7 linked regions of the Macaca mulatta genome follow. Each later gene encodes a partner of the first gene's protein in a complex. Links are inferred from orthologs where the notes say so. Each region holds a gene or a part of one and is shown in the gene's direction. Other genes may lie near its edges. The genes, in order: TMEM17, TMEM67, CEP290, TMEM107, AHI1, CC2D2A and B9D2.

Evidence for each region.
Region 2: TMEM17 (region 1) and TMEM67 share a complex: the UniProt entries of both Homo sapiens proteins name them as parts of the tectonic-like complex. The link is inferred for Macaca mulatta from reciprocal best matches to the Homo sapiens genes TMEM17 and TMEM67.
Region 3: TMEM17 (region 1) and CEP290 share a complex: the UniProt entries of both Homo sapiens proteins name them as parts of the tectonic-like complex. The link is inferred for Macaca mulatta from reciprocal best matches to the Homo sapiens genes TMEM17 and CEP290.
Region 4: TMEM17 (region 1) and TMEM107 share a complex: the UniProt entries of both Homo sapiens proteins name them as parts of the tectonic-like complex. The link is inferred for Macaca mulatta from reciprocal best matches to the Homo sapiens genes TMEM17 and TMEM107.
Region 5: TMEM17 (region 1) and AHI1 share a complex: the UniProt entries of both Homo sapiens proteins name them as parts of the tectonic-like complex. The link is inferred for Macaca mulatta from reciprocal best matches to the Homo sapiens genes TMEM17 and AHI1.
Region 6: TMEM17 (region 1) and CC2D2A share a complex: the UniProt entries of both Homo sapiens proteins name them as parts of the tectonic-like complex. The link is inferred for Macaca mulatta from reciprocal best matches to the Homo sapiens genes TMEM17 and CC2D2A.
Region 7: TMEM17 (region 1) and B9D2 share a complex: the UniProt entries of both Homo sapiens proteins name them as parts of the tectonic-like complex. The link is inferred for Macaca mulatta from reciprocal best matches to the Homo sapiens genes TMEM17 and B9D2.

Annotation. Positions count from the first base shown.
Region 1 is NC_133418.1:62,220,627-62,225,562, forward strand, and holds the start of TMEM17 (transmembrane protein 17), read left to right. Parts: upstream 1-1,741; 5' UTR 1,742-1,786; coding exon 1,787-1,886; exon of another isoform or gene 1,887-2,178; intron 2,179-2,581; exon of another isoform or gene 2,582-2,670; intron 2,671-4,936. UniProt on the Homo sapiens protein: Transmembrane component of the tectonic-like complex, a complex localized at the transition zone of primary cilia and acting as a barrier that prevents diffusion of transmembrane proteins between the cilia and plasma membranes.
Region 2 is NC_133413.1:104,191,532-104,195,708, forward strand, and holds part of TMEM67 (meckelin), read left to right. Parts: intron 1-863; coding exon 864-963; intron 964-1,057; coding exon 1,058-1,197; intron 1,198-3,311; coding exon 3,312-3,452; intron 3,453-4,177. UniProt on the Homo sapiens protein: Required for ciliary structure and function. Part of the tectonic-like complex which is required for tissue-specific ciliogenesis and may regulate ciliary membrane composition.
Region 3 is NC_133416.1:95,298,792-95,302,968, reverse strand, and holds part of CEP290 (centrosomal protein of 290 kDa), read left to right. Parts: intron 1-899; coding exon 900-1,041; intron 1,042-2,194; coding exon 2,195-2,268; intron 2,269-2,863; coding exon 2,864-2,958; intron 2,959-4,177. UniProt on the Homo sapiens protein: Involved in early and late steps in cilia formation. Its association with CCP110 is required for inhibition of primary cilia formation by CCP110.
Region 4 is NC_133421.1:9,692,046-9,696,925, reverse strand, and holds TMEM107 (transmembrane protein 107), read left to right. Parts: upstream 1-1,739; 5' UTR 1,740-1,831; coding exon 1,832-1,918; intron 1,919-2,094; coding exon 2,095-2,162; intron 2,163-2,245; coding exon of another isoform or gene 2,246-2,263; coding exon 2,264-2,364; intron 2,365-3,201; exon of another isoform or gene 3,202-3,300; intron 3,301-3,467; coding exon 3,468-3,564; intron 3,565-3,809; coding exon 3,810-3,879; 3' UTR 3,880-4,134; downstream 4,135-4,880. UniProt on the Homo sapiens protein: Plays a role in cilia formation and embryonic patterning. Requires for normal Sonic hedgehog (Shh) signaling in the neural tube and acts in combination with GLI2 and GLI3 to pattern ventral and intermediate neuronal cell types.
Region 5 is NC_133409.1:40,532,166-40,536,342, reverse strand, and holds part of AHI1 (jouberin), read left to right. Parts: coding exon 1-21; intron 22-1,733; coding exon 1,734-1,840; intron 1,841-3,375; coding exon 3,376-3,494; intron 3,495-4,177. UniProt on the Homo sapiens protein: Involved in vesicle trafficking and required for ciliogenesis, formation of primary non-motile cilium, and recruitment of RAB8A to the basal body of primary cilium.
Region 6 is NC_133410.1:14,648,275-14,652,029, forward strand, and holds the end of CC2D2A (coiled-coil and C2 domain-containing protein 2A), read left to right. Parts: intron 1-1,046; coding exon 1,047-1,224; intron 1,225-2,758; coding exon 2,759-2,947; 3' UTR 2,948-3,070; downstream 3,071-3,755. UniProt on the Homo sapiens protein: Component of the tectonic-like complex, a complex localized at the transition zone of primary cilia and acting as a barrier that prevents diffusion of transmembrane proteins between the cilia and plasma membranes.
Region 7 is NC_133424.1:52,506,827-52,511,602, reverse strand, and holds the start of B9D2 (B9 domain-containing protein 2), read left to right. Parts: upstream 1-1,723; 5' UTR 1,724-1,937; intron 1,938-2,031; exon of another isoform or gene 2,032-2,108; intron 2,109-2,351; 5' UTR 2,352-2,355; coding exon 2,356-2,443; intron 2,444-4,776. UniProt on the Homo sapiens protein: Component of the tectonic-like complex, a complex localized at the transition zone of primary cilia and acting as a barrier that prevents diffusion of transmembrane proteins between the cilia and plasma membranes.

The DNA of each region.
Region 1 (4,936 bases):
TCCACTCTCGATACACACTCAACAAAAATGCATGCATATGTTCACCAAGAGGCATCTTTTCACCAAAGCAGCACTATTCATAACAGCTGCAAACTAGAAAATACAGACACTCATCAACAGTAGAATGAGTAAGCTTATTGTGGTATGATCACACAGAGCAAGGCAAAATAATCTACACTCAATGACATGAAGGAATTTCATGAAAGTAATGTTGAAGACAAAGCCAGTTTTTTATTTTTAAAAAGTATTTACAGTACCATGGCTTTTATATAAATATGCAAAACTGAGAAGCAAGATGACAAAGGGAGTGTCACATCTAGAAAGTGGTGCAATAAGATGCACAGCTAGTGCTGCCTTGTGACTCTAAGATCTACCTCCTTGAAAAGTTTGCCTGTGGCAAATGCGGCTCGGCTCCCAAGCCAAGACAAAGTATAATTGGAGTGCCGAGGCTAAAAACCAAAATACCAACGAGACTGGTCGAATGAGGCACCTAAAAATTGTGTACAGCAGGTTAAGGCATGGCTTTTCTGAAGGAACACCACCTAAACCCAAGAGGACAGCTGTTGCAGCAGGAGTTCAAGACCAGCCTGGCAAACGTGGCGAAACCCTGTCTCTACTAAAAACACAATAATTAACCGAGTGTGGTGGCGGGCGCCTGTAATCCCAGCTACTCGGTAGGCTGAGGCAGAAGAATCGCTTGAACCCGGGAGGCGGAGGTTGCAGTGAGCCGAGATTGTGCCATTGCACTCCAGCCTGGGCGATAGAGCAAGACTCTGTCTCGAATAAAAAATATATATATATTTGGATTAGTCACACAATAAATGTTCCGATTTAAAAAAAAAAAAAAAAAAAGGCAAAACTCTCCTTTGCTGTTAGAATTCAGGAAAGGTCAGTTATGAGTGAGGAGGGGGTTTAGTGACTGAAAGGAAATAGGAAGGGGGAGTTTCTGGGAATATTGTAACGTTTCTTGAACAGGGTGCTGATATATTAAGTAATATATCTTAGAGAGAAAGCTAGAAAATACAGAAGTGTTTAAAAATTTTTGAATCACCTACAATCCCACTATCCAGTGATAACTACTGTTAATATTTTTTTCCAGTTTTTTTTGAAGTCGGTGTGCACATGCTCTCTCCTCCCCTCCACTCATACACATAAATTTTGCTAAATTAGGTTTATTCTCATTTAGTTTTATTTCTGCTTTATTTTTACATAAACTATATCATTCAATATTCTTTGCAAGCATTTTATAAGCAGCTGAAACATACTCCATTGAATGCATATGCTCCAGTACATTTAATCAGTTGCCCATTGCTCTATTTTCTTATTAAAAAATAATCAGTCATAGTATCTCTCTCTCACACATACCCCTACACCTCTAGACATTCTTTAAGCTCTGCATTCATTCTCTATTTCCCTCCAGAAAGGTTGTACCGATTTACAGTTTCACTGGCAAGATATGAGGGCTCCTTGTATCGCAGTCCAACCCCAGCTCATTTCTTAGTATAGGTTTGTTTTTAGGATGGTCGGGCTCAAAGCAGAACTAAGAGATCTGCCGTTTTGGACACGGCCGAGGCGCGCAGCTCCCGGGGCCTGGAACGCGCTCTGAGTACGCCGGTCCCTTCAAGGTTGCGCGGGCTCCCGACGAGACCCGGCCCAGCCGGGCACCCCCGCGCGCTCCCGGATCTCGCCGGCCTCGCGCCGGCCGGTTGCCATGAGAACCACGGAGCCTCGGAACGCCCGCAGACTAGCCTGTATCTGAGGGGGCGAGGGATACCGAGGCCCAGGCATGGAGCTGCCGGATCCGGTGCGCCAGCGGCTGGGAAACTTCAGCCGGGCTGTGTTCACTGATTCCAATCGGACCGGTCCGGAGTACAGTGAGGGTCCCGGTGAGTGACCGAGGCCGGCGCAGGGGGTGTGGCCTGCTGAGGGCTTGGCGTGGGTTTTGGAGCGTCCAGAATTTGCCCGTACCTAAAATGGCGATGTCGCCTTCAGTCAGTTTCCCGCAGTGCGGGCCAGAGCTTTGGAGGAGGGGCCGGCCGGGGCGGGGAGCTGAGGCGCTGGCGGCCTCCGGCCGCGGGCTGGGCCTGGTCTGCACGCGCTAACGCCTGGCCTGCTCCGTGCAAGCCCGGCAGCTGAGGTGGGGCCGACCTCTGTGCCAAGCAAGGCCCATCATGGCTCCTGGGAAACCCCAAAAATAAAAAGATAAAAGCAGCCCTTGCTGCACAGGCTAGTCCCCCGCGCACCGCGAGAGCGAAGGCCCAACTTGCTTTTCCTCTGCGGCGCCCGCCCCGGCTTTTCTGTCCAGGATGGCGAGGAACAGCCCAAGCAATCCCCACCTCCCCTGTCCCCACCCGCCGCCCAGGGAGCAAATTTGCCTTTTCCCTTTTCCTAGCAGAACAAGTATGTTCCTAAGCAAGGCCATTTTCTGGCAGAAAAGATTAGGGGGAAAAAAAATTTTTTTTTAAGAGTCCTTTCAAACCACCATCCACTCCCAACTGGCATGTGCCATACTAGCCGGACGTTCAACAAAACTCACCCCTTCCCTGCCTTCTCCTCCTCCTCCCCTATATGTAACTCTTACCATAAGGTAAGAAAATACCATGATGCCTCTGCATCCTTCAACTTGATGACAAGTGATAACGCAGTTTCCTCCAGAACAGGTTCCTCCTCCTACATCATGATGGTAGACAACACACTGTCAACCAAACCCGTGTGGTTTCCATCATTCAAGTCTGCTGGGAAATATAAATCTTTTCCACTGCTTGGTTTTACAGAATTTTTAAAAGGGACAGAAAAGTAAAGGCAGTCCCCAAAGCTGCATTTTGTCGTCTTGATCACTTGCCTATTCCCCAAATGTAGGCCTTTATGATTTAGGATGTACAGAGAAAAATGTGAAAAAATTAGGTTTCACGTTTCTGGTTCCAAGGATGAGGCTTAATGAGCACTAACGTCTGATAATACAAGGTAAAAAGACGTTTTCTGAAAAGGGCCAGATAGTAAGTACTTTAGGCTTTGTAGGCCATATGGTCTCCACGGCAGCCACTGACAATAGTTATTGAATAGGCATGGCTGTGTTCCAATAAAACTTTAAGGATATTGAAATTTGTATTTCGTATGGATTTCACGTATGAAAAAAATATTACTTTTTTAAGCATTTAAAGGTGAAAAAACATTTTTAGCTCATTGACTGTACAAAAACGTGTAGGCAGCTGACCAGTTGTTTACCTATCCCTGATTTATATTGTATGTTTTAATTTAAATTCCATTTATAGAACTCAACTTGAACTTTTGCAAAATTCAGTAAATGTATATCTTATGCTTTTAAGGTTCATTTACATATTAATTTGATTTTCATTTCCATGATTATAAGTTTGATCTGCTGAAATATGGACATAGCATAACCTTTAAGATGTTAACACACAATACTTCTAACATAAAAACCGTTCTTTGCAAAATTTGACTACAGTTTCTTCTCAAAGGTACTGAAATGTTCTGCTTGCCCAATTTATTATTCTTTCCCGTATTTTGTTCTTTGTGGATCAGAAGTAGGTTTGATTATTTGTACTGTAATAACAAATTTATGTAATTACCATGTCCACAGCATTGTGCTGTTGCTATCAGAAAGATCCTAGGCTGGTGAGTTGTCTTCAGATTTAACAGATTTTAAGAATTCATTCATTTATCAGTGGTAATTTAATAAGCAGTTGCAAGCAAAAGTAGATCACAATAATCAGGCATATTTTTGGAGCTAAAAGAAACTATTTTGCTGCGAGAGACCATGACTGTTTCTTATATTTTAAAATTATTAAATGACAGATAAAAACACTCAACTATGGAGAAAAGGAGAAAATAATGTTCTTAAGACATTTATTTTAGGACCTTTAAAATCTTACGTGTAGAACAACTGATTTCAATATATGTGTCCGCTCTTAAGAATTTAGTCAAATTTAGGATGTATTTTGTAGGGTTCAATTTTAAAAATCAAATTCTTAATTTAGGACCCTTCTGTCTTACATAAAAGCAAAAAGTGTTATGGAATCAACCTTAGGTAAATGGAACTCATGTATCACAAATGGCTATACTAGTAATGTCCTTATGACAGTATGCTTACATTAATTCATTCTTATGTGTATTTGATATTCACTGCATATAAAGCAAGATGCTAGATTCTATGAGGGTCTCAAATTAGGGTGGGACATGGTGTGTGCTTGCAGATAAGTAGATAAATAGAAGAGAAGAAGGAAAGGGGACTAATATTTGTTGAGTGCCTACTAAGTGTGCCCAGCACAGTGCTAGGAAGAAATAATTCATATTGGCTCTAATTCTCACAAGCAGCCTGTAAGGAAGTTTTAATTTCACTATTTTACAGATGAAGAAATAGAAGCTCAAAGAACTTAAATAATTTATATAAAGTCTGACATCCAGGGTCACAGAGGTTTGGGGAGCTCGGGTTTGCTTGAACTCTGAAGCCCGTGATCTGTTCAGTACACCAGACTGTTTTTCGGGGAGGGGAATGTGGTTCTTTGCTAGCACTTCTTATTGACAGTTTAGAGTGATAAGTACCTGAAGGGAAAGGTATTTCTGCTGGGGTGGGGGAACTGATGAAGGAAGTATTGATGGAAAAGACGACGCTGAATTGGACTTTAAAGAATGGCTAAGATTAGGGTATGCTGAAAAGAGAGATGTGTCTAATTATATAATCTTGGTAATCCGTTTTTGTATGAGATTAGTTTATATGTGAGAGATTCATTTTTATTTATTTTATGCATTAATTTTATATGCTATTTACATAGAATTCTACAAAGCAGGCAATGATAATTATCTGTTGAATAGGATTTATATTGATATTCTACATTAAATCTGTACTAGTATATGCAAAAAAGTCAGAAGACTGTAATGGCAAAATGGTAAAATAATTGAAAAATATGAAACATAC
Region 2 (4,177 bases), on another chromosome or scaffold:
TATAACTTTCCTTAAAGTCTGATGATACATTCACAATGGGACAAAATGTCTTCAGGCATGAATTTTGTCTCCATTAATCAAGGATAAAGTGTTGAGATCTTAAAGCTGTTTTGTCTGTCTCCAGATTCCTTTGCTCCTTTCTTCCTATGACCCCCATTCTCAACTCAGTGTTCTCTATCAATGTAGGTGAAGCTCTTTATATGCCTCTTGATAGTCCTTATCCCATTGTACTGTGAATATTAAGTGTCTCCTTTTTCCACTGGCTGGGAGCTTCTCGAAGTGAAGTATCCCATACTTAGATTTTTAGCCTTTATTTGATCAATAATGCAGCAACTAGAAAGAATGCCTCAGTTTAAACATATTGCTTCTATAAATGAGAAAGATGTGTTTCAACAACGCATTCTGTAAAAATCAGAAATCTTAATAGCAGAAATAGAAAAAACAGACAGAGCATTCAAAAACTTTAGGAAAAACAAGCTATAGTTGAAAATATCTTTACTTATAAAGAAGTCAACTGATCTACAAAACGAGGTGTGCTTCTAGAATCTTTGGGAAAGAGTCAATTATATAAGTCCCTATGTGAGGAGGAAAAATGTCTCCTCTTTTCATATTCCTATTTTAAAGAAATAAATAAAAAGGGAAGGTAAAGTAAAATGTATATGAAAATTCTGTGAATTTGGTGATTCCAGGTTATCTGATGAGCTTCTAATGATCCCCTAGTGGTATTATAACTTCATGTGAATTCACTTATAAACGTATATGTTCTTGTGATAACAGTATGTTTCTTAAAGAGTCAATATTGGTTTTATAAGCAGGCTTAATGCTGGTACTCTTTCAGGTGTTTTATTATATGTCATTCTCAGGCACTACAATTTTTGCATAAGCTCATATCGCAGATTACAATAGATGTATTCTTTATTGATTGGGAGCGACCTAAAGGAAAGGTTCTTAAAGCTGTTGAAGGTAAGTGAAATATACATTTGTACCAAAATTCTTTTGCTATCCTTGCAGAGCAAAGGAGGTAGAATTCTTTTACTCATTTTATTTTTCTGACCAGGTGAGGGTGGTGTACGAAGTGCCACTGTTCCTGTAAGCATATGGAGAACATATTTTGTAGCAAATGAATGGAATGAAATTCAGACTGTGAGAAAAATTAATTCACTATTTCAAGTACTTACTGTCCTCTTCTTTTTGGAGGTATAAACTGTTTTGATGTGATTTATGCAACTTACATGTACCTTATAAATATTAAACTAATATAATTCCAACTAAGTTTTCATGACAGTGGAAGATTTCTCTAAAGGTTGAAATATTGTTGTGAAGCCATTAAAAAGGAGTGACTTTATGTTATATATTTTACCACAATTTTTTTGTTTTAAGTTTACCATCTTAAGCATTTTTGAGTGTAGAGTTTAATAGTGTTAAGTCAGCCAGGCGCAGTGGCTCACGCCTCACTTTGGGAGGCCAAGGCAGGCGGATCACCTGAGGTCGGGAGTTTGAGACCACCCTGGCCACCATGGAGAAACCCTGTCTCTCCCAAAAAATACAAAATTAGCTGGGCATGGTGGCACATGCCTATAATCCCAACTGCTCGGGAGGCCGAGGCAGGAGAAGCGCTTGAACCCGGGAGGCGGAGGTTGCAGTGAGCCAAGATGGCGCCATTGCATTCCAGCCTGGGCAAAAAGAGCGAAACTCCATCTCAAAAAAAAAAGATAGTGTTAAGTACATTCGCATTGTCATGCAAAATCATCATCACCATTCATCTCTAGAACTCTTCATCTTGCAAAACTGAAACTCCATATCCCTTAAACAACCCTGTACCCATTCCCTGCTACACCTAACCCCTGGCAACCACCATTCTATAATACTTCCTGTCTCTGTGTGTTTGACTGCTCTAGGTGTAAGGAGTGGCTTTAAAACCAATAGTTTGTATCAGAAGCCCTCGGGGATCTTTTGTAAAATACCTATGCTCGGGCTCACCCTTAGAGACTATGTTTGATTTAGTAGCTTTGAGGTAACCCCAGGTATCTATATTTTGAAAAAGCTCCCTACTCCCTGATCCGTATTCTCCCCTACATTAGAATCACTATTATAAGTTTGATATTTTTCAACTAATTTTTATTGAAAACTTACTATAGACTATGTTCTGTGCTAAGAGCTGGGGCTAAAATGAACAAGATGCAACATATTTATTATACATTTGCAGTTATTTCATGGATTTAGTTGAAATTATTAAAGAAAGTATTCAGTACTAAGTATAAGACTGAACATGGAAACCGTTTATATGGGAATAGGTTTTCTCAGGAATTATCTGCTTAATTAAGATTGAATATAAATCATTAACTCTTAGGTCTGTCTGTCTTCCCTCTTTTTTCTTCTTTCTTTCCATTCTCTTTCCCCTTTCCCTTCCTTTATTTTTGTAAAACTGGTAGAAGACTGTTTGTATCCTTAGAGCCTTTAAATAATATGAGCAATACTTCCAAAATTCACTTGAAGTAGTATTTTGGTTTTTCTTAAATGAACAGATAAAATTTATATATGTTTATAGTTTACAATACAGTGTTTTGATATATGTATTCATTGTGGAATGGCTAAATCAAGCTAGTTTATCTGTTACCTCACATACTTCTTTTCTTTTTGAAGTTGTGTGTGTGTGTGTGTGTGTCTGTGTGTGTGTGTTTAGGAGTTTCCTCAGCTTTAAAAGATGTTACATGAAAAAGTTTTATAGTCAAGTTAGTTTGGAAAATATTGGATTCAGTATAATCATGTAGTACCTTTTACTGTAAAACTTCTCAGAGCCTTTATTCTACAAGGGTGGGAAGCATGGAGGTAAGTGTAATGGATGGACCAAATGTATTTAAACATAGATTATTTTTTCAAAGAACTTATGCCCTTTAGAAGACATTTTGTAATATACTGTTTTAAAGTATAAAAATGTTTAGTACAGTGCCTGGCACATGTCAAATACTCATGAAATACTAGTTGTTGGTTTCACTCATTGGTAGTTTACTAATGAAAGTTTTATCCTTTGAATTAAATTTGTATTCCTGTCAGTGTGTATGACAATAAGGTTATATTTGACCCTTAGTCATATTGAGAAGAATGCCAAATGAACTAACTAAATATTGTGTAATAAATACTTTGTAGTTAAGATACTGGATAATAATTATTTTTATCTAGATTTTCTACTGTTTATACAAACTTGGATATTTTAGTTTTTCAAGGTGAGTAGGGAGAGGTTTTCTATTTTCAGTCGAGTAGTTTTCTTTATCCATGTCTGTTTAAATTACTACTTTTCCTTTTTACTCCAGGTTGTGGGATTCAAGAACTTGGCATTAATGGACTCATCTTCTAGTCTTTCTAGAAGTCCATCTAGCTATGTAGCTCCTTATAGCCGCATTTTGAGATATGCAGTGTCTGCTGCTCTTTGGCTAGCCATTGGAATTATACAGGTAAGGAATTATAAAGGTAATATTACTTCTAAGTAACATTACTTATTTATAACTCTGCTTACTTACTGATTATCATCAAACATTGACCACATCCTTCTTTCTGTAGCAGAAAGAAGGTGACAAGAGCAATAAGCTAATAGTCAGTTCTTTTTTTTTTTTTTTTTTTGAAACAGTCTTCACTCTGTCGCCCAGGCTGGAGTGCAGTGGCATGATCTTGGTTCACTGCAGCCCCTGCCTCCCAGGTTCAAGCAATTCTCCCACCGCAACCTCCTGAGTAGCTGGGACTGTAGGCGCCCACCACTACATCCAGCTAATTTTTTTGTATTTTTAGTAGAGATGGGGTTTCACCATGTTGGCCAGGCTGGTCTTGAACTCCTGACTTCAGGTGACCCTCCTCCCCTCCCAAAGTGCTGGGATTACAGGTGTGAGCCATCGCACCCAGCCAGTAGTCAAGTCTTACATTGTGTTAGTCACTGTACTAATTAACTACTGTTGATCCATCACTTCTTGGCCTTTAGGCTAAGATCAAGTGTAATTACTGTTGATCCTTGAACAACATGGGGTTAAACTACTTGAACTCATTGACAGTAGAACATACAGTGTTCACAGAATGCAAATTCTGCATCTGTAGAGGGTCAACTTTCTGTATAGATGGGTTCCAGCAGGACTGAATGTGGGACTTGAATATGGGTGGATTTTGGTATACTTGGGGGTTCTGGACTCAA
Region 3 (4,177 bases), on another chromosome or scaffold:
GAAAATTAGATGAAGTGAAGGAGTAAGCTTCTGATATTTCACCATTTACTTGTGGTAGATCTGTGATAGTCTCTGTCGGGTTAAAAACATTCCCTTCTAATCTAAGTTTCTAGGATCTATCAAAAGCTGTTTGAATGTGTTTAGACAATCATTATTTTCCTTTCTTGTATTATCCTAGCAGATTTTGTTACCAAAGCTATACTGGCCATTTTAACTTAGAATGCAGTCTTTCTATCCATTTCTCTGGAAAAGTTTGGATATTGTAAGCATTATATTTCTTTAGGTATGATGAACCAGTAGAACTGTTTGGCTCAATTATGAAATTTTTTTCTGGAGTCTGTATTTTTTTGAACTGTTGTTTCTTTAATGATTATAAATCTATTCAGATTTTTACAAGCTTTATCCCTCTCCCATCAGATACTATTTTTCTCACCCATGCTTTTGCACAATTTTTTTCCTCTCCCTGTAGTGTTTTTCTGTATACCTCCTATGTATGTCTGTATATGTGAGAAAAGCTTTTTATTTGCCATCTTTATATTTCTAAGAATATCTAGTAATATAGAATTTTATATTCCGAAGAATTTTACTTTGTATTTTCTTATTTTGTGATTGAAAAAAGGTATTAATTTTAAAATGGTCAAATCAGGCTCCATCCTTATTTATAATCTTGGAAAATACCCAAATTCTTTATTTTGAATGGGCCATCTGTTAATTAGGGATACCTTATCTCTTGCCACCACCATTTTAATGGTAAATAAATATGTAGCGAAAACCTTGACTAGACGAAACAGTAAAATAAGATATTCTTGCTTATTTCTAGTACGGTAATTTGAACTGACTTTTAAATCAGTGACATAAATTATTTGCCATGTCTATACTTTTTTTCCTTATACTTTTAGAATGTATGAAACCAAGTTAAAAGAATTGGAAACTGATATTGCCAAAAAAAATCAAAGCATTACTGACCTTAAACAGCTTGTAAAAGAAGCAACAGAGAGAGAACAAAAAGTTAAGAAATACACTGAAGACCTTGAAGAACAGGTAAGTAATGTAATTTTTCTTTACATGATAAAATAATGCATAATATCACAGGATGTTCCTCTATAGATAAAAATGGACTCGATTAAGAAGACCCATCTAACTGAAGGGCACCCCATTCACCTATTTGCTTAAGCCAGAAACTTTGGATCATCAATGACTTCATTCTTTTCATTCTCCACATCTTTTTTTTAATCGTTAAATTATGTCAGCTCTATTTTCAAACTATATCCCAAATCTGACCACTTCTTGGCATCTTGAGACATCACTACCAGTCTTGTCCAGGCTATTGTTTTATACCTGAATAACTACAATAATTTCCAAACTGGTATCTCAGCTTCCACTCTTGCATTATTTCACTCTATTTCTATTTCTGGTCTGTCTCCACACAGTTGCGGGTAACCCTTTTAAAACATAAAGCACATCACAAAGCACAAAGTCCTATCCTCAGAATCTTCCAGTGGTTCTCCATCACCCTAAAATAAAACTTCAAAGTACTTTTCGTATCCCAAAACAATATATGAGGTCTGGTACCCAGTTTTCTTCCCAATCTCATCTTCTACCACTTTTCCCTTCATTTCATTCACAATGTTTTAACCACATTAACCTTCTTTCAGTACTTTAAACAATTCAAACTCATTTAAGCGTTAAGTCCTTACACTTGTTTCCTTTGTTTAGAATACTGTTCACCCAAATATTCTCATAGCTTCCTCCCAGACTTCATGTCTCTGCTGAAATAGAGGCTCCTCAGAGAGACCTTCCTAACCCTAACCCTAACCCTAACCCTATACTACTTGCCATCACTCTTGATCCTCTTACCCTGGATTATTTTTTCTTCATAGCTCTTCCTACCATCTGGCACTATTATTATATCATATCATATTACATACACATTCTTTGTTTCCACACTAAATGAGGACCATGCAAGATGGAACATTACCTATTTTGTTCACTGCTGTAGCCTCTGTGCCTAGGACAATGCCAGTTATGCAGTAGTTACTCAATACTTGTTGAATGAATGGTGAATAGAACATAGAAATTTGCCTATGCATGCTTTTGAAAACCAGATTTTAATATTATGCTTTATTAAAAATGTGTATCTTTATAAATCCTCGTATTTCCAAAGTTATCTTCTAACTTTTCATTGTCCCCAAAGATTAAGATTCTTAAACATGTTCCTGAAGGTGCTGAGACAGAGCAAGGCCTCAGACAGGAGCTTCAAGTTCTTAGGTGCGTCATGTGTTCATATGACTACTTTGTTTCTTTCTTTTAAAAAAAAATTATTAGTTTTTATAATCTTAGAATTGCTACAACTAGAGACAAACATTTTTCAACTTTACTGCCTAACAGGCTTATTAGGTCCTTATTTCTTCCTTCTAATGCTAATCACTCTCTTTTTCATAATACACACTGGAAAAAAGGATAAACCCAACTGTAATATAAGTTTCCAGTTTGTAATTTAGTTTAAACTTTTCTAAGAGCATAGAATGAATTAATCCTTAGCTTCCCAGAGGAAAATACTAATGAAAGAGAACAAGTAATTTTTTACTTTCAGGAGTCTCTGTAGCCCACTTTCATTAGGCTCCTCATAACAAAACCACTCTTGGAAATGACCTCAGGTCAGATATTAAGAAAAATGTGAAGGCTTTTGTATTCCAGGCTTTTTGAGAATGGTGACATTGTAGCATTGAGAGTAAATGTTTACTTTGATAAAGACTAGTTTGTTCTGATTACTGTACATCACTAGTTCATAAGAAATGCCCATATATTTTATGAAGCAATACCTGCCTTCTTTTTTTTTTAACAAATTATCATTGTGTTCTAGATTAGCTAATAGTCAGCTGGATAAAGAGAAAGCAGAATTAATCCATCAGATAGAAGCTAACAAGGACCAAAGTGGAGCTGAAAGCACCATACCTGGTAATATATTTTAAAAAACATGTTAGCTACCCCCAGGTTTTTGAATTTGGGTTTACCTTTTTTTTTTTCTTTTGGCTCAGATTTCTGATCATTGTCTCAGTGTAAAATCAAATTCCTGATAAGTTTTGGATCTCTTGTCTCTCCTCCATGCTATTAATATAAAAATATTCCCATTTTTCTCTTTGTGTTGTTTATACTATAGAGTAGCAAGTACCCAAGTGTTTTTCTCTTTGTTCTCCATCTGGGTGTTACAGATTTAATCACAATGCAGGGCTAAGCAATGAATACTAAATCTGTTGCTTCCAGTTTCTAAGTATAGGCTCTTTCAAGTCCTCTGAACATTTTTAAAAACTGCAAATAAGTAAATACTGCCTACATTTTTTTCCTTTTACAAAGTAAAAAGAAAGTATGTTTCTGCTGCCTTCCATTCCCATTCAAAAGTGATTACTAATCATTCCTCATTCCTACATACACATACACACATATTTTATGTACATATATATCACACATATGCATACATGTGTTTATGTGTTCATATGTATAATAGATCCTCATTATTTGTGGATTCTGTATTTTCTAAATCACCTGCTCACTAAGGCGTGTATGTAATCCCCAAATCAACACTCGCAGCACATTTGCAGACATCCACAGAGCCTTGGAAAGTTTGAATAATCCAACCTACATGTCGCCAGCAGAGGTTCAACAAGGCGGTGCTCAGTATCGTCATTTCAGTTTTCATAGAGAAATGATCAAAGGATGGAGACGGTAGAGGGCAGCACAGCATAGTGCAAGAAGCTGTGGCTCTGGGGCCTGTTGGAAGGGATTTGAATCCCAATTCTGAGGCTTGTTAGTGCTTTAGGCTTAGGAGAGTCACGAATGCTTCTGAACCTTTTCTTATGTAAATAAATAGAATTTACCAGGATGAGTTATCTTTAGGATTTAAGATTATCATGTGTGAGATATGTAGGTGTATGTATGTATATGTATGTCTGTACATATTTCCCCTAGCAGCAGTGGTTTGATATTCACTAATTGGGCTAACTTTATAGACTAAAACTACTGTGGATAGAGAATAGACTTTGTTTGCATATACATATATATATTTTCTTGGCAAGTGACATAAAATTGAACTCATACTATACACATATCTAGCGTATTTGCCTTTAACAGTTTATCCTGGACATCTTGTGAGGTCTGTTCATAAACCTGTCTCATCCAT
Region 4 (4,880 bases), on another chromosome or scaffold:
CGGCTTTTTTTTTTTTTCAGTAGAGATGGGGTTTCACCATGTTGGCCAGGCTGGTCTGAAACTCCTGCCCTCAGGTGATCTCTCTGCCTCGGTCTCCCAAAGTGCGGGGATTATATGCGCGAACCACCACTCCCGGTCAATTTCTGGCCAAAGTTTCTAAAATAAAGTTTAAGAATAAATGCCCTATTTTTATAGAATTATAAATGCCCTACTTTTATAGAATTATAATTCTAGCGTTTCCTTTTTTTTTTTTTTTTTTTGAGACGGAGTTGTGCTCTTGTTGCAGAGGCTGGAGTGCAATGGCACGGCTCACTGCAACCTCCACCTCCCGGGTTCAAGCGATTCCACTGCCTTAGTAGCTAATCGAGTAGTAGTAATCGAGTAGCTGGGATTACAGGCACGCGCCACCACATCCGGCTAATTTTGTATTTTTAGTGGAGATGGGGTTTCAGCATGTTGGTCAGGCTTGTCTCGAACTCCTGACCTCAGATGATCCGCCCTCCTGGGCCTCCCAAAGCGCTGGGATTACAGGCGTGAGCCACTGTGCCTGGCCCGCGTATCCCTGTTTGTAGCACCTATTATCTTACGGATTTATTTGTTTGCATGTCTGTTGTTGATCTCCCTGACTAGAATACTATTACTAGGTAATAAATAAATATATAAAAATATTTGTTGAAGGAATGAGAAATGCCTCTTGGGCTTGTACTTTAGTCTGGCTAAAGGCACTGAGACGTCGAGTGGGAAGTAGGAAGATATTGTTCTCCTGGGAAATGGGCCGGGAGTTTCCTTGAGGATGGGACTTGACTGAGCAATTAGAGAAGAACTTTCAGATCTGCAGGGACCTGCGCTGAGGCCCAAAGGTCATGACGTCGCCGGTGATAAGAGCTTCCTGGACTGTAGCTGGGCAATGTCGGAGGTCCAGCACCTCCAAGAGATAAAGAAATCTAAGTTGAGTTTCCCTTCCCGTAGGCTCCAAGCCTCCCAGAGACGCAGGGACTGTACCATTCCCTTCGTCCACTCCCACCTTTCCAGCCACCTTGCTTTGCTCTTATTCCCACGCTAGTTTAAGGACGCTGACCACTTTTTGCACTCTGCAAATCCTTCACCAAACTGAGCAAAGTAGTCTGAGAGAAATCAGTCTTCCTCAAGGAAGGTTCAGGCCTAGGGTCCTCAGACAACCAGGGGCTCTGTGACAATCTGTAACTGCCGAGCAGTCCAGGAACACCGGCCTCTCCACGTTCGGGTCCCTTGTTTCTCAGGCCCAGCTTGGTGGGAAGTTAAAGGCATGAGGAGAGGAGGAAGGGGAGCGGGTGTGAGTCTTCGGCATGGCGGGGACCTCAGCCCGGCGTGGCGGTGGGAGTGATCTCAAGTGATCCACAACTGGGCAGCGTAGCTGGGGCTGGGGGCCGCTCCCGGCGTGGGCAACCGCGGAAGCAGAGGTGTCCCCAGGCTAGGCCAGGGTGGGTTTCCGTTCGTCGGCCCTGCGTGGGCAGATCGGGCGCTGCGGGGCTGTGCCACCCCTCACCCTCTGAGAAACAAAGGGCCTGGCTGCGCACGGGTACCCAGCCATTGGGTTAGAAGCTCCTTCGGGTACCCCTGACCTGAGTTAGCCCTGAAAGACCCACAGCAGATGGAGAATGTACTGCTCTCGCGAGGTTTTCCGAGAACGCGGCAGCACGCCCGCGTACGCGGTTACCAAGGCAACTGGGCGGTGCCTGAGCTGGCGGAAAGGAGGAGTTCGTCTAGATTTGTCCGCTTGCTGGTGGACTTGCGGGAGTCGCAGTCTCTGAACTTCCAGCCTCAGAGACCGCCGCTCTTGTTCCCAAGGGCCATGGGCCGGGTCTCAGGGCTTGTGCCCTCTCGCTTCCTGACGCTCCTGGCGCATCTGGTGGTCGTCATCACTTTATTCTGGTCCCGGGTAAGACCCACGGCTGCCCTCCGTCCGCCCCCATTCCCATCTCGGAGTCGTCCCCGCCCCACCCTGCCCCTCTCCCAGTGTCTTACCCACTTGGGTTTTCTCGTGTTCCGCCGTCCCTAGGCCTGCCCAGCAGCCTGCCCCTTTTTCACTTCTCTTCCTCTCTGCCCTGCTCCCAGGACAGCAACATTCAGGCCTGCCTGCCTCTCAGGTTCACCCCCGAGGAGTATGACAAGCAGGACATTCAGTGAGCTCTTGGGACGGGGTGGCCAGAACGAAGAGGTGGTGGGAGTGGAGGGGTCTTAGAAGAAGTCCAAAGGCCTGGGCCAGTCCACTTCCTCTCTGCAGGCTGGTGGCCGCGCTTTCTGTCACCCTGGGCCTCTTTGCAGTGGAGCTGGCCGGTTTCCTCTCAGGAGTCTCCATGTTCAACAGCACCCAGAGCCTCATCTGTATCCTTTCTGCCTGCCCACCTTTCCCACACGACCCATTTCTATCAGGACTCCCTTCAGCCACCTGACACAATAGTGTCTGCTGTAGCCAGTCTCTCCAGTTCAAAGATCTTCAACCATGTGCTAAATCCTGCTGTTTACTAGGCACTTAAAATTCCGAAATGAGAGTAAAATACAGTTTTTGGCCAGGCACGTTGGCTCACGTCTGTAATCCCAGCACTGTGGGAGGCCCGCGCAGGAGGCAACATAGTTAGACCCCGTGTCTACAAAATAAATAGTAATAATAAAAACTCCACTTTTTTTTTTTTTAACCATGAGGAGGTAGATACACATCTGTAATTCAGTGTGATAAGCAGTGTGCTATGGGAGTGTGTAAAGATAGCACAGGCAGGGTGCGATGGCTCACGCCTGTAATGCCAGCACTTTGGGAGACCGAGGCAGGTGGATCACCTGAGGTCAGGAGTTCAAGACCAGCCTGACCAACATAGTGAAACCCTGTCTGTACTAAAAATACAGAAATTAGTCGGGCGTGGCGGTGCACTCCTGTAATCCCAGCTACTCAGGAGGCTGAGGAAGGAGAATTGCTTGAACCCAGGAGGCAGAGGTTGCAGTGAGCCGAGATCGTGCCACTGCACTCCAGCCTGGGCGACAGAGCAAGACTCTGGCAAAAAACGAAAGATATAAAGCACATTGGGAACTCAGAAGAGGCAACGGAAGCCAGGCACATGGGTCAGAGAATTGTGGACCAGGAGGACCAGGACACTGGAGGCTGATTCCAGCGCATATCAAGTCGCTGTCAGCACTCCTGTGTGGCATAGCAGGAGAGCCTACTCTTACCTCTCATCTGAAGGATCCAGGCTGGCCCCTAGATATGGAGTAGGGTAGCCTGAGATCCCATCTGCGCAGTCACTTCTGGTCTCTCCTCACATGACTGTCCTAAAATTCAGAAGTCGGGGATGCTGACTCTAGCCCTTGCAATATGGTGAGGGAGCAAACGATGAACCTGAATGCAGATGCCAACCCCACCACTGGCCTTTGGCCTTTTCTGACCCCTCACTATCTGTCGATCCAAAGACTTTCCTTAACTGTGGTGCCTTCTCAAGCCATTGGGGCTCACTGTAGTGCATCCGTGGCCCTGTCCTTCTTCATATTCGAGCGTTGGGAGTGCACTACGTATTGGTACATTTTTGTCTTCTGCAGGTGTGGTAGCATCCAATATTCGGGAATGAGGGAGGAAGGCTGACCCTAAACCTGAGGGTTTTTCCCCTACCCAGCCCTTTCCTCTATGTGGGAGATACCAGATCCACTTAACATCCTGTAGTCTTTTGAATTTTCATTCCCTACCCCATGCCACCTGTCCTACACTTTCAGGGGTGGGGTCTCTGGTTTGGAGATTTGGGTATTTATATTGAACGGGTTTCTGAATCTACCACTTGCCTCGGTAGTGCCCTTCCAGCTGTCACTGAAATGACTTTATTCGTCACCGTCTTTGGGCTGAAAAAGAAGCCTTTCTGAGCACCTTCATGACGGGAACCTAAGGACGAAGGCTACAGGGGCAAGGGCCGCTTCGTATTCCTGGAAGAAGGAAGGCATAGGCTTCGGTCCTCCCCTCGGAAACTGCTTCTGCTGGAGGATATGTGTTGGAATAATTACGTCTTGAGTCTGGGATTATCCGCATTGTATTTAGTGGTTTGTAATAAAATATGTTTTGTAGTAAGATTAAGACATATACAGTTTTCAGGGCACAATTGAAATGGCGAAACTACTGAAGAAAAAAAAAGAAGCAACGTTATTTTCTAGTTCTGCAGACCGTAAGATACTTGGTATCGCTTCTATTTTGGTTATTACGGTAGTTGTCTGGCGGAAGGGAGTGGGCGGAGATATGTAAATAGAAAGTGCTTACAGTTAGAACGTCCAGCACGTAAATGATCGGAGCATTCTGGGAAAAAGAAATTTATTCCTTTTCGGCAGCCGAACGAAAAAATTCTTTTAAAAATGTGCAAGCAAATATGGCAATACAACTGGAAGGATGCTAAGTAGTAGGGTTACTTATACCAACGCGTCGTGAACTCACCCTAGCTGTAAACGGAATCTTTTTGACTGAGTGCGGAATGTCGGCTATTTAGAAATATCGTCAGGTGGGATAATCCTTACCTGTTCCTCTTTTGGAGGGCAGATTAGAACATGATGATTGGAGAATGCATGAAACGTGATTAACGTCTCTGCGTAATCAGGACTTGCAACACCCTGATTGCTCCTATCTGATTCTTCCTGACGATCGCTTATGTTTCTGTTATGTTGATTGTTAGTTTAGTTAATGTAGTTATCATGCGGTGCAGGGAATAGTTTTCGTATTTCGCTATTTTGTGATCTCGCCAAATTTACCTGGTTTTGAAAATTGTGAGTTGTATTTGTTGCTTACTGGGACTTAGGAGGTAGGATTGTGCAAATGGACTCCCGTTGTTCTTTGTCGTTTGATACTTTGACGCTTCACCTCTTCTCAGGAAACACTGCAC
Region 5 (4,177 bases), on another chromosome or scaffold:
CACTTTGTTTTGATACTGAAGGTATGTCAGAGACTATGAATGAAGACCAGCTATGTGAAGAATTTTTTTTACCAGAATAATAGTTATCGAGGCTTGAGAGGGTTATGTACTGATGATTGTGCATATTTAGGTGTATGCTTGTTTTGCAGGTCATATGATAGATTTGACATTGAAGGAGTTCTGTTTGTAATTTTTAAGTTACTCTTAAACATTTAAAATTGCATAAATATATTTCTTTGGACTGGTGATTATCATTCTTACTTTCTTTCAAGAACCTTAAAATTTGCAAACATATAGAAGGGAAATTTGCAATTATTTAAAGTAAGAATAATATAGTGGCTGGGCGCTGTGGCTCATGCCTGTAATCCCAACACTTTGGGAGGCCAAGATGGGTTGATCACGAGGTCCGGAGATCAAGACCATCCTGGCTAACATGGTGAAACACCATCTCTACTAAAAATACAAAAAATTAGCTGGGTGTGGTGCTGGGTGCCTGTAGTCCCAGCTACTTGGGAGGCTGAGGCAGGAGAATCGCTTTGAACGTGGGAGGTAGAGGTTGCAGTGAGCTGAGATCGCGCTACTGCACTCCAGCCTGGGTGACAGAGTGAGACTCTGTCTCAAAAAAAAGAATAATGTAGTATGTCTTAAAGTTGTAAAACATAAATCATTTTATTATCTGAAAGAATAAAGAAATTTATTATATCTATTAAATAGTCACTTTTTACATAATTTCAGAGACTAGGCATGTAGGCTGTCACTATAATTAATTGGCATGGGATCCAGATCAAAAGGATAATACTGCTGATTTACTCAGTTCAGCTGTAGGGATGTTAATAAATTTAGAACATATTCAGGAAAGAAAGGTATCTGAAAACTAACTCTGTCATAATAGCAGTAGTTCAGATTGTAAAAGAGACATAAAGACTTTCTTCAACTATTTGGCCGTAAGATACCCAAATGTGCAAAAAAAAAAAAAAAAAAGAAATTGGTCCATTTTACTCCAATGGGTAGAGGTGGGCCAAAGCTGTAGAAGGTAGATTTTCTTCGTTCAGAATTACAAAGAATATTTTAATACAGGAAGCAGTTCACCAATTGAATAGCTGTTTTGTAAAATACTGAATTCACAGTTGCTGAACAGCCATCTGTTAGTGGTGGTGGTTGAGATATTCCTGAGTGGGTATGAAGTTGAACTTTCTGAGGTCTGTCAACTTTAAGATGACTTGACTCCAAAGAATTGATGTTAAATTGGAATACCTGTTATTTATTATTTTATTCATTTCCTGATCATTTAATGAGTTTCTACTGGGTCTCAGGTATTATGCTAACACTATGTATTAGAATATAGGTATTTTTCTAGGACTCCAAAACAGATTTATAGGTTAATAAAGTAAGAAATAATGTTACATGTAGGATGGTTCAAATAATTTGGCTTTGGAATATGAGCCATATACACATGTACTGAGAGGCTCATTTCTTTTTGTAGTTAAATTCAGGTAAGTGACAAAGGGAAATAAGTCATCAAAAATAATTTAAAAGAGTAAAGAATTCATTTAAAGATAATTGGGGTTTGTTTGTGAGTTGCATTTTGATTTTTGACTTTTTTAAACTGAAATACCTTTTAATAGCCCTTCAATTCTTTGACTGTTTTACTGGGGTATGGTTTCCCCCAGTCTCCTATTATTTGTTTCTAACTCTGGGACATTCATAAGTGAGTAATCTTGTTTTTTAAATAGGTCATCATATGTATTCAGGAGACTGTACAGGGGTGATTGTTGTTTGGAATACCTATGTCAAGGTTAATGATTTGGAACATTCAGTGCGCCACTGGACTATAAATAAGGTATAAAATCATATTTTATATTATGAGATTTAATTAAAGAAGTTGGAAAACTCCAGTCACATGACTTTAAGATAGAATGTCAGGACATTCTGTTCTCTCATTTCAAAAAATTAACACCTTTCCTTTTTTTTTTTTTTTTTTTTTTTTTTTTTTTGAGACGGAGTCTTGCACTGTCACCCAGGCTGGAGTGCAGTGGCCGGATCTCAGCTCACTGCAAGCTCCTCCTCTCGGGTTCACGCCATTCACGCCATTCTCCTGCCTCAGCCTCCCGAGTAGCTGGGACTACAGGCACCCGCCACTTCGCCTGGCTAGTTTTTTGTATTTTTTAGTAGAGACGGGGTTTCACCGTGTTAGCCAGGATGGTCTCGATCTCCTGACCTCATGATCTGCCCGTCTCGGCCTCCCAAAGTGCTGGGATTACAGGCTTGAGCCACCGCGCCCGGCCAACACTTTTTCTTAGTCAATTATCTATAATTAATTAGCACACCCTCCTGGTGGTTGATTGATGATCTAATGACTTAGTGAAGATTTTTAAAATTTCGGCCAGATGTTAGTTTCACTTTTTTATATCCCATTTGCACTGTGGCATTCAGTAATCCATTGGGTGACATTTATGCTAAAATGAGATGTATGTTATATTACCATCGATAAGTAATAATTTATATTTTCTGTTATATCCTTTTTCCTTGGTCCAATAGCATCTCTAAAAACAGTGTTCTTAGTACTTTGTCAACACTGGTGTCTTTCAGAGTTATGTAATTATTATGAAAGTCTGTCATTTAATCAATAATTATTTCATTTGAAATTTGCTAAATGGAAACAAATGAATAAGTTCTTTCATTGGGGGCTGGAGTGTTTTTAAGACAGCTTGTAAAGCAGTTTTGTTAGTGTACATTTTTTACTTTTTATTTAAAAACACAAATGAATCATTAAACTTGAATTTGTTTTATATAAATTGATCCAGTTTCTGCCTAACATATTATACCTTTTTCTTCCATTTTTCTTAATAATGACAGTAGTTGAAAAAAGACACGCTAAGTGAAAAATAATTTTCATGAATTTTAGTTAAATCCATTGAGTCTGTCAGATCTGTTGAAAAAGCATTTCATCTGTTGTTAGAAATTCTTATATAAATAAGAATAGAAACTTGAAAATTAATAATACATGTGGTTTTGAATTTATAAAAATTGGAAGCTTCTTACATGATTTTAAACAAAAAATTTAATGTTACAAGATGTGTTTGTTGGAAGTGCTTCTTGTTTGGGATTGACTAAATTTTGGGAAAGTGAACATACTACAAAAACACATAATAATTAAATGTGCATTTACACATTGCATAACAACACAAAAATACAGTTCATCAGCTTTATTTTCAACCCTAAACTGAAGTTACTCAGAATCCTTTTGCTAACAATTATAAAGCATCCTATACTGCAGAATTGGAAAAGATATTTTAAGATTAATTTTGTACCCCCAAAAACGTTTAACATTAGATTAACTTTTCATTAGTAGTATTTTTTTTTTTATCATTTTAGGAAATTAAAGAAACTGAGTTTAAGGGAATTCCAGTAAGTTATTTGGAGGTTCATCCCAATGGAAAACGTTTGTTAATTCATACCAAAGACAGTACTTTGAGAATTATGGATCTCCGGATGTAAGTATATTTCAGTATTGACAGGATAAGTACTCACAGAATAAGTAATGAATTAAATTATATTTATAAAATTCGGTAGTGGTTCTCAACTAGGCAGTGTCCCCACACTCACCAAGGAATGTGTGGCAGTATGTGGAGATTTTTTTTTTTATGTTACTTCTAGTATCTAATGAGTAGAGATCAAAAATATTGCTAAGCATCCTACAGCCCATAGGACAGTCTCCCTAAAACAATTATCCAGCCCAAAATGTGAATAGTTCTGAGGCTGAAATGTAGTTAGTTGCTTTTATTTTCACAATTAAAAAAAAAGAAACTTCTACCTTCAACAATGATATTGATTGATACTGATATTATCACTATGATACTGTTACAGCATTAGTATAATATGATATAACAACAAGGCAGGGCTTGTGATTTATACATCCTTGTTTTTTTCCTTTATTTCCAAATAATGGTGAACATAGGGAAATCTTCTTCCTGTAAAAGGTAGAAGCAGCGTTCTGGGAAAATCAGCATGGACTTCTAGTGCATTTTTGTTTGGTGTTAGAGATGGTAATAGTGCCTGCCTGGCACAAAGTATGTGCTGAAATGGTGTTTACTATTTTTTCGTGAGTGCAAAAATATGGAAGACTATGTACCATATTTAGCAGATGGTTTAATAATATGTTTTATCTAATTTTTTT
Region 6 (3,755 bases), on another chromosome or scaffold:
ACCTCATAAGGTTATTAGTGAGATTAAATAAAAATCTACAAAGAGCACTTCGCGCAGTATCTAGTAAATAATGGCTCAATAAATAGTAGCTATTTTCCTTCATTCTATGCTTAAACTTCACACCCTATGAACCCAATACCTGTACTTACCACAAATAAAGTTTCCATGATGTTGGTATTTTAAAGGCAGTTTTAAGGCAATTTAGAAAAAAAATCCATCATCATGAATAGAATTCACTATTCATGATATGAATAAATCACAAGACACTAACAGCCCCACAAATACTTGAGGCTTTCAACATAAGCCCTACTTCTTATGCCTGTGTCTAATTCATCTGTCCGTATATATGCTACCAATGAGTATAGCTGTACAACATTTCAAAAAACATTTCATGGCCACGTGCAGTGGCTCACACCTGTAATCTCAACACTTTGGGAGGCCAAGGCTGGCGGATCGCTTGAGCCCAAGAATTTGAGACCAGCCTGGGCAACACAGCAAGACCTTGTCTCTACCAAAAAAGAAAAAAAATAGCCAGGCATAGTGGCATGCACCTGTGGTCCCAGCTACCAAGGAGGCTGAGGTGGGAGTATCACTTGAGCCCGAGAGTTGAGGCTGCAGTGAGCTGTGATTGTACCACTACACTCCAGCCTGGGCAAGAGAGCAAGATCCTGCCTTAAAAAAAATTAATATTAATAAACTTTTGCTGCATGTATTGAATTTTGCTATCCCCAAGTCATTCAGTACTCCCTCTTCTGTGCTTCTGTGTTACATTTCAAGTATCTGTTATAGCTCTTAGGATACACATACTTTCTATTTATAGGCCTATTTCCCATCTCAACTCATATACAACCCTTAAGGACAGGACTGCATGTTAATTCTGAATCTCCAGGGAGTAGCCATTAGACATTAATTATGCCTGGAGGATCACAACTCCATCAACAAAAATGTAGTTATACAATCATCTGAATCCCCACTACATACTACATATATTTTTTAACAAGGGAAAAGTGAGTCACCAAAAAATGGAGTTTATGTTTTGTGACCAGGATTGAAAAAATACTAAAAGAAAAAATCATGGACTGGAGGCCACGCCATCTGACTCGGTGGAATAGATATTGTACCTCTACTCTGCGTCACTTCTTGCCTCTGTTAGAAAAAAGTCAAGGAGAAGATGTAGAAGATGACCACAGAGCAGAACTGCTAAAGCAGCTGGGAGACTACAGGGTAAGTTACAAATGGATCCTAAACTGACTGTGGATTTCCTTGTTTCAAATTGGAAATTAGCCAATAACAGGTTTCTGGAATCAAAAGACCCACATTGCTCCCAGAAGTACATATTTAAAGCAGCATAAACTAAAAACTGTGATTATAAGTTTTAAACCTCAATAATCACTAAATAGCAAAATACCACTATTTTTCATATAAGTATCCCATGAAAAATACCTTTTATGAAATACATTTACATATCAAATAAAATGAAAACATCTGGCTAAATCATGTTAGACTCAACTGTGCACAAGGATCAAAACACTCTAGAACAGTTTTTTTAAAGGATGTAAGGTTTTACACTGATTGCTTTTCATTGCTAAGAAAGGTGGTTATTAACAGACGATATACCCTCTCTACTGCCTGCTTGTAGTACTGTGTTCACATGCTATAGCTGGATAATAAAACCTAGAAAGAAGGCTTGTAACTAAGACTTAACAGTAAGCCTTATTAGCTAAACAGTGTGAAGGTCAAATTAGATCACTCACTGAGTAAAATTTATCCTTTAACTTATAAGGCAGGTTCTCAGTCAGGATATTTTCAGTTCAAGTGTCAGAAAACTCAAACAGTCTTGAGCAATAGAGAATTCACCAGCTTAAGTAAAGCTTAGAGGGTAGCTATCAGGGTTTTCCCATTCTCCTTCAAGTCCTCCCATTCTGCCCTCCTCCTCCGTATGATGGCATCATCCTAAGACTGGGTTTCCTCATGTTAGCAAATGCTGGAACACTTACAGAATTCACATCTGCGCACATACTACCCAAAGCAGGAGAACGTCATGTGCCATTATTCCTAACAAGTTTCCCGAGATCCCCTCTGAGACTCCCTTTGATCTCTTGCCCATCCCTATGGATCAATCATTGTAGCCAAGGGGACGAAAATTATTGTCGGGCGCCATGGCTCACATCTGTAAACTCAGCACTTTGGGAGGCTGAGGTGGGCGGATCGCTTGAGCCCTGGAGTTCAAGATCAGCCTTGGCAGCATGGCAAAACCCCATTTCTACAAAAAATACAAAAAGTAGCCAGGCATGGCGGCACTTTCCTGCAGTCCCAGCTACTCAGGAGGCTAAAGTGGGGGGACCATCTGAGCCCAGCAGGAGGCCGAGGCTGCAGTGAGCCATGATCACGCCACTGCACTCTAGCATGGATGACAGTGAGACCTGTCTCAAAAAAAAAAAAAAAAAAAGAAAAAAGAAATGTATTTGTTAGTTTAACCTATGTTTCTGGAATTAGAATGGTTACTATGCGTACTAGGTACTTCCAAAAAGAGGGAATACTGATGGGGTGACTAACACCTATATGCTAGCAAGGAAAACAAAATGGGTATTAAGCAACTCTCCATTTTCTGTATTGCTAATAAATAGCTGAGTAGAAAAACACAAGCAAATAACTGAGATCCAGAAGACTTATTATATTAATGGCATACATTTACATAGGAAACAATGTATTAAATCTTCAAACTTCACTAATGACTACAAATGTTTTTTCCCTTCAGTTCTCTGGATTTCCCCTTCACATGCCTTATTCTGAAGTGAAGCCTTTAATTGACGCTGTGTATAGTACTGGAGTACATAATATTGATGTTCCTAATGTTGAATTTGCTTTAGCTGTATACATACACCCATACCCCAAAAATGTTTTGTCTGTTTGGATCTATGTTGCCTCTCTTATACGCAACAGGTAATTTTTTTCACTGTACTTTTTGTATCATGTAAAAACTACACAGGATATGAGAAAATTTTAAATTATATGCATCACATCAGAAGAACATATTATTGGCAAATAATAAAATTATCATGTTTTCAAACTGTGCAAAGTGTTTTATTTAGTAGTCTGCCTCGTCTCTGCTACTTGACCCTGAAATTCAATTGAGACTACCCACAGTAGAGTACATTATGAGCTTCCTGCCTCTATTCGTTTGTACTTACTTACCTTTTGCTTGGGCAAATATTAACAGCAATGGAATGAAAGTGAGAGAAACTTACCAAGTTTTACCTCAAAGCAAGGTAAAGCTTTAAAGAGAGCATCATTAGAGCCTTCAGAATTCCTCTTCCTTTGCCGTGTTTAATTCAAATGTTAGTAGAAATAAAAAGCAGTAATGAGTTATTTATATTCCATCAAATGATTCTTCCTTTATCTTTAGACAACACTAAGACACTTCGCCTGAACTGAATGTTTACCCGTTTTTATTGCTACTCCTCCTCCTCTCTCCAAATAAAACAAATAAATATCTAAGACTGCAAGATTACGTCATCTTCCACAGGTTTGCATGTACAGGTATACCTCGGAGATACTGTGCACTTGGTTCCAGAGCACTGCAATAAAGTGAATATTGCAATAAAATGAGTCACACCAATTTTTTTGGTTTCCCAGTGCAAAGTTATGTTTACACTATATTATAGTGTATTCAGTGTGCAAAAGCATTATCACAAAGATGTACATACCTTAATTTAAAAATACTTCACTATTCAAAAGTGCTAATGACCATCTGA
Region 7 (4,776 bases), on another chromosome or scaffold:
AGGAGACCCCAGAGACAAGGTCCCTGTCATAGTCCAGGTGATAGATGAACTTGGACAGATGAAGGTGTTGGGCGACAAAGAGGTGAGAAGTGGATTTTAGGGTGCATTTCAAAAGTAGAGACAGTTAAGATTTCCTGATGGACAAAATGAGGGCTTGAGAAAAGAGAGAGCAAGGCTGATGCCACCACTAGGGGACCAGAGGCCCCAAGAGCTGAAAGGTTAGAGCTGTCTTCCTCACCCACACAGCATCCAGAAAGATATAAAAAACCCATCTCTACTAAAAATACAAAATTAGCTGGGTGTGGTGGTGTGCGCCTGTAGTCCCAGCTACTTGGAAGGCTGAGGCAGGAAAATTGCTTGAACTGGGAGGCAGAGGTTGCAGTAAGCTGAGATCGCGCCACTGCACTCCAGCCTGGGCGACAAGGCGAGGTTCCATCTCAAAAAAAAGAAAAAAAAAAACTAACAAAAATCCAAAATTATAAGGAGGGGGCAACATTTCAGTAGGATAACATTTATATTAAACAATTCACTGGAATATTTCACTAGTTGATATATGCATTATTTTGTTATTTTTGTAGAGATGGGGGTCTCACTATACTCGACCTTCTGGCCTCAACAGCTCTTCCCGCCTCAGCCTTCCAAAGGGCTGGGATTACAGTCATGAGCCTAGCCAAGGGTGGCTTTTAAATACTCGTGTCTATTGGCCTGGCTGGGTGGCTCAGGTCTGTAATCCCGGCAGTATGGGAGAGCAAACTGGGAGGCTAGCTAGAGCCCAGGAGGTCAAGACAAAGGCTGGGCAACACAGCAACACAGCAGGACTCCATCTCTTAAAAAAAAAAAAAAAAAGAATTAGCCAGCCGTGGTGGCGCATGTGTGTGATGCCAGCTACATGGGAGGCTGAGGTAGGAGGATCCCTTGAACCCAGGAGTTCAGAGGCTGCAGTGAGCTGTGATCAAGCCACCGTACTCCAGCCTGGGTTACACAGTGCGACCCTTTTATGGAGTCTTGATGGGACCTGATGACTGGCTTGATGTGGGAAATGATGGCATCTATGATGGCATCCAGGGACATCTCCATTTCTTGATTGAGAAATCAATCAATAGAAAAGAGGATTTTCTGCAAATAAGGGGATCCCAGTTCCTCATTTCTCTTCGCTACCCCAACGGTTCCTTGCTCAGACTCAAGCAGTTTAACAGTGAACTTGGTAGTAGCTTGGTAGAAGTTGGGTAAGTCCAACTTCCTTCCTTGTCCTTGAAAAACCTAGGGGAACTCTAAAACGGAAGCAGAACCCACTCCCCAATTTCTCCACTCTCTGTGAATGAGGAGTGATTTTTTTTGCTTTGTTTTCCAGTTATGAGGTAGGGGATGTACATGAGGTCCTGGAAGGAATTCCTCCTTGGTCATAGTTCAGTCTCTGATTTGTGATCCCGGACCATAGAGAGCTCTTCGGTGGGGTCCTCACGCAGCACGGAGCAGTTACGGATTTGCTTTTTTTGGTAAAGAGGACATCTGGGAGAAACTGCACTCAAACTTCCTCAGCCACACTCAACATGGCAGCTTCCTAGCCACGGCCAAAATGGCGGAACCCTTTGCCGTAGCTGGAGAGACGCTATTTTCCCAAAATGGAGCGAGAGGAGGAAAATGTCCATCACAGTTTCACCCCGCCTCCCGGGGACGGCTAACACCAATCAGTGGCGCGGAGGGCGAGTACAAAGCCAGGGGAGGAGCCTGCTGTTGCTCCAGCAACAACCACGGAACCCAAGGCGAGCGCGGACGCGGAATATCGCGGATTCCATTTCTCGCAGCCGGGAAGGTCCTGGGAAAGGCGCGAGCCAGGCCTGGTAGGCGCCCGCGGAGAAAAAAACGAGTCAACTCAACCCCATGAACTACAACCCCCGTTGCCGCTTTCGCCCCTCCTAACCGTTAAGTGCGCTAAGGTAGGAATAACGCATGCGCTGCGCTTGGAGGCGTGGCTAAGTCGGCCCGGAACTCAACGCATGCGCCTTATAGAGCTTGCTGGGTGAGGGAAGCGGGGTGGCTGACATGACGCGGAAGGCGGGTCTTTTCGCTCGTGGGCGGGGCTTTCCGCTGACCTGAACCCAAAGAAGGTATTTTAGACCTCGCAGAGTTAAATGCTGGTTCCCCCCAGACAAGGGTCCCCCCATTTTTTCCAGGCTTTCATGGGTTGGCAATTAGGATCTGTGGTCAAGACCTCAGCCTCAGGGGTGTGAGGAAGCTAGCTTGGAATCCTAGTACTACCCTTTACTTGCTGGGCCTCAGTTTCCCCTCCTGTCAAATGGAGATAATATACTTACCTCACAGGGTTGTGATTATATTTTTTCCCATCCCAGGGCCATGGCTGAGGTGCACGTGATCGGGCAGATCATGGGGGCCAGCGGTTTCTCGGAAAGTAGCCTGTTCTGCAAGTGGGGCATTCACACAGGTATTCCCCCAGGCCTGGTTAATTTCCACACCAAGACCCCTAGCCTAGAGGCTGCATGCTCCTTCCTCGACCTGTTAACGCAGCGCCTTAACCTCATCTTCCATCAGCTCTCTGTACTCCAGGCTTAGCCCACACCCTGTCCACGTGAGTCTCAAGCTCCCATCTGTTTTTTCGTTTGTGCAGGGGCTACGGACAGGGTCTCTCTCTGTCGCCCAGGCTGGAGTAAGGTGGTGTGATCATAGCTCACTGCAGCCTCGAACTCTTGGGCTCTAGTGATCCTCCCACCTCAGCCTCCTGAGAAGCTGGGCCTACAGGCACGCACCACCAAGTGTGGCTAATTTTTAAACTTTTTGTAGAGACAGGGTCTCGCTATGTTGCCCAGGCTGGTCTCAAACTCCTGGGCTCAAGCAGTCCATCCGCTTCAGCCTCTCAAAGTGCTTGGATTAAAAACATGAGCCACCACATCCCAGGAAAGTAATTTTGTTCATGCTTCCCCAACTGAGGCCCTGTAGAGTCATGGTATAGTGTAATGGTTAGGGCCATGGGCTGCCAGATCTGGATTTAAATACTAACTCTCCCTTCTATTAATTGGAGACCTTTGGACTTGACCTCTCTGAGCCTCAGTTTCCTTGTCTGAAAGTGAAGCTAATAGCAGCCAAGAAGCAGCACAGGTTTGAGGTTAAGAGCACAGACTGCCTGGGTTCAAAACTAGTTATTGCTTGTTAATGCACTCTTGGGCTGATTATGTGACCTTGGGCACTTCTCTTCACCTCGACTTCTCTGTTTGTACAATGAGAGTAATAGAAATATTTACCTGTTGAAGTTGTCATGAGTACTAAACAAATATCAACAGCACTTAGAATAGGAATAGGGCTGGAATATGAAGTGCCCATTCAGTGTTTGCCTGGCTCATACAAGACTTTGATGGGGTCTTGTTTGTAAAGCCTGGGGTATGTGGTTGCCTGGCACAGATAAATGTCCATGAAACAGATGTGGCCATTTGGCATTATCATGTCTTCAGGCCTGAGTCTTAGTCCCTTTTTTTTTTTTTTGAGATGGAGTCTCTCTCTGTTGCCCAGACTGGAGTGCAGTGGCGCAATCTTGGCTCACTTCAAGCTCTACCTCCCAGGTTCACGCCATTCTCCTGCCTCAGGCTCCCATGTAGCTGGGACTATAGGCACCCGCCACCATGCCCGGCTAGTTTTTTTTGTATTTTTAGTAGACAGGATTTCACTGTGTTAGCCAGGATAGTCTCGATCTTCTGATCTCGTGATCCACCTGTCTCGGCCTCCCAAAGTGCTGGGAGTACAGGCGTGAGCCACCGCGCCTGGCCGTTTTTTTTTTTTTGAGACAGAGTCTCACTCTGTCGCCAGGCTGGAGTGCAGTGGCACAATCTCGGCTTACTGCAATCTCTGCCTCCTGGGTTCAAGTGATTCTCCTGCCTCAGCCTCCCGAGTAGCTGGGATTACAGGCGTCCACCACCACACCCAGCTAATTTTTGTATTTTTAGTAGAGATGGTGTTTCATCATGTTGGCCAGGCTGGTCTCGAACTCCTGGCCTTAAGTGATCCGCCCGCCTAGATCTCCCAAAGTGCTGGGAGTACAGGTGTGAGCCACTGCCCCTGGCCTCTGGTCCTTTTTGATTCTACAGGTAAGTGAGGTAGAAGTTGAGATTCCCAGGAAATCAGGACCCTCCAGTTGATGGAAGAGAGGCAGACTCTGGAGTCAGACTTGGTTTCCAGGTTCCACGCCACCACTCACCTTCTCTGTGACCCTGGGCAGATGCCATCCCCTCTTAGAACCTCAGTTTCCTCATCTGTTCTTCATAGGGCTGTTGGGAAATCTTGCTTTTAAGCAGCCTGACTGAGGGCCTGGTGCTTCCCTCACTCAGCCCAGAAGGGAGTAATGACTAACCTGATTTTTATTACTTCAGGGAGTTGCTGGGGGTGTTGACCCAGCCAAGAATACTGAGGCAGTTGGATGAACGGCTTGGGCTCTGCAGTTAGAGCTGAGTCTGAATCCAGTTCCATGATGGGACCTTGGTCTGCTATAGTCACAGCTATGTCACCAGCATGGAAAACAGTGCTTGGCACACAGCAGGTGCTCAATAAATGTTCATGAACTTACCTTTTCAGAGCCTGTGTCTTTACCTGTTAAATGGGGATTATATTAGCTCCCAACTCCTAGGATCACTAATTTGTCCAAGAAACATTTATTGAGCACCTTCTGTATACCAAGAGCTGGGTTTGTGGTCTTGGAGATCCAGCAGTGTGCAAGGTCCCTGTTTTCCTGGGCCATACGGTAGGGGAGACAGAAAATAAATAAGCAGGCCA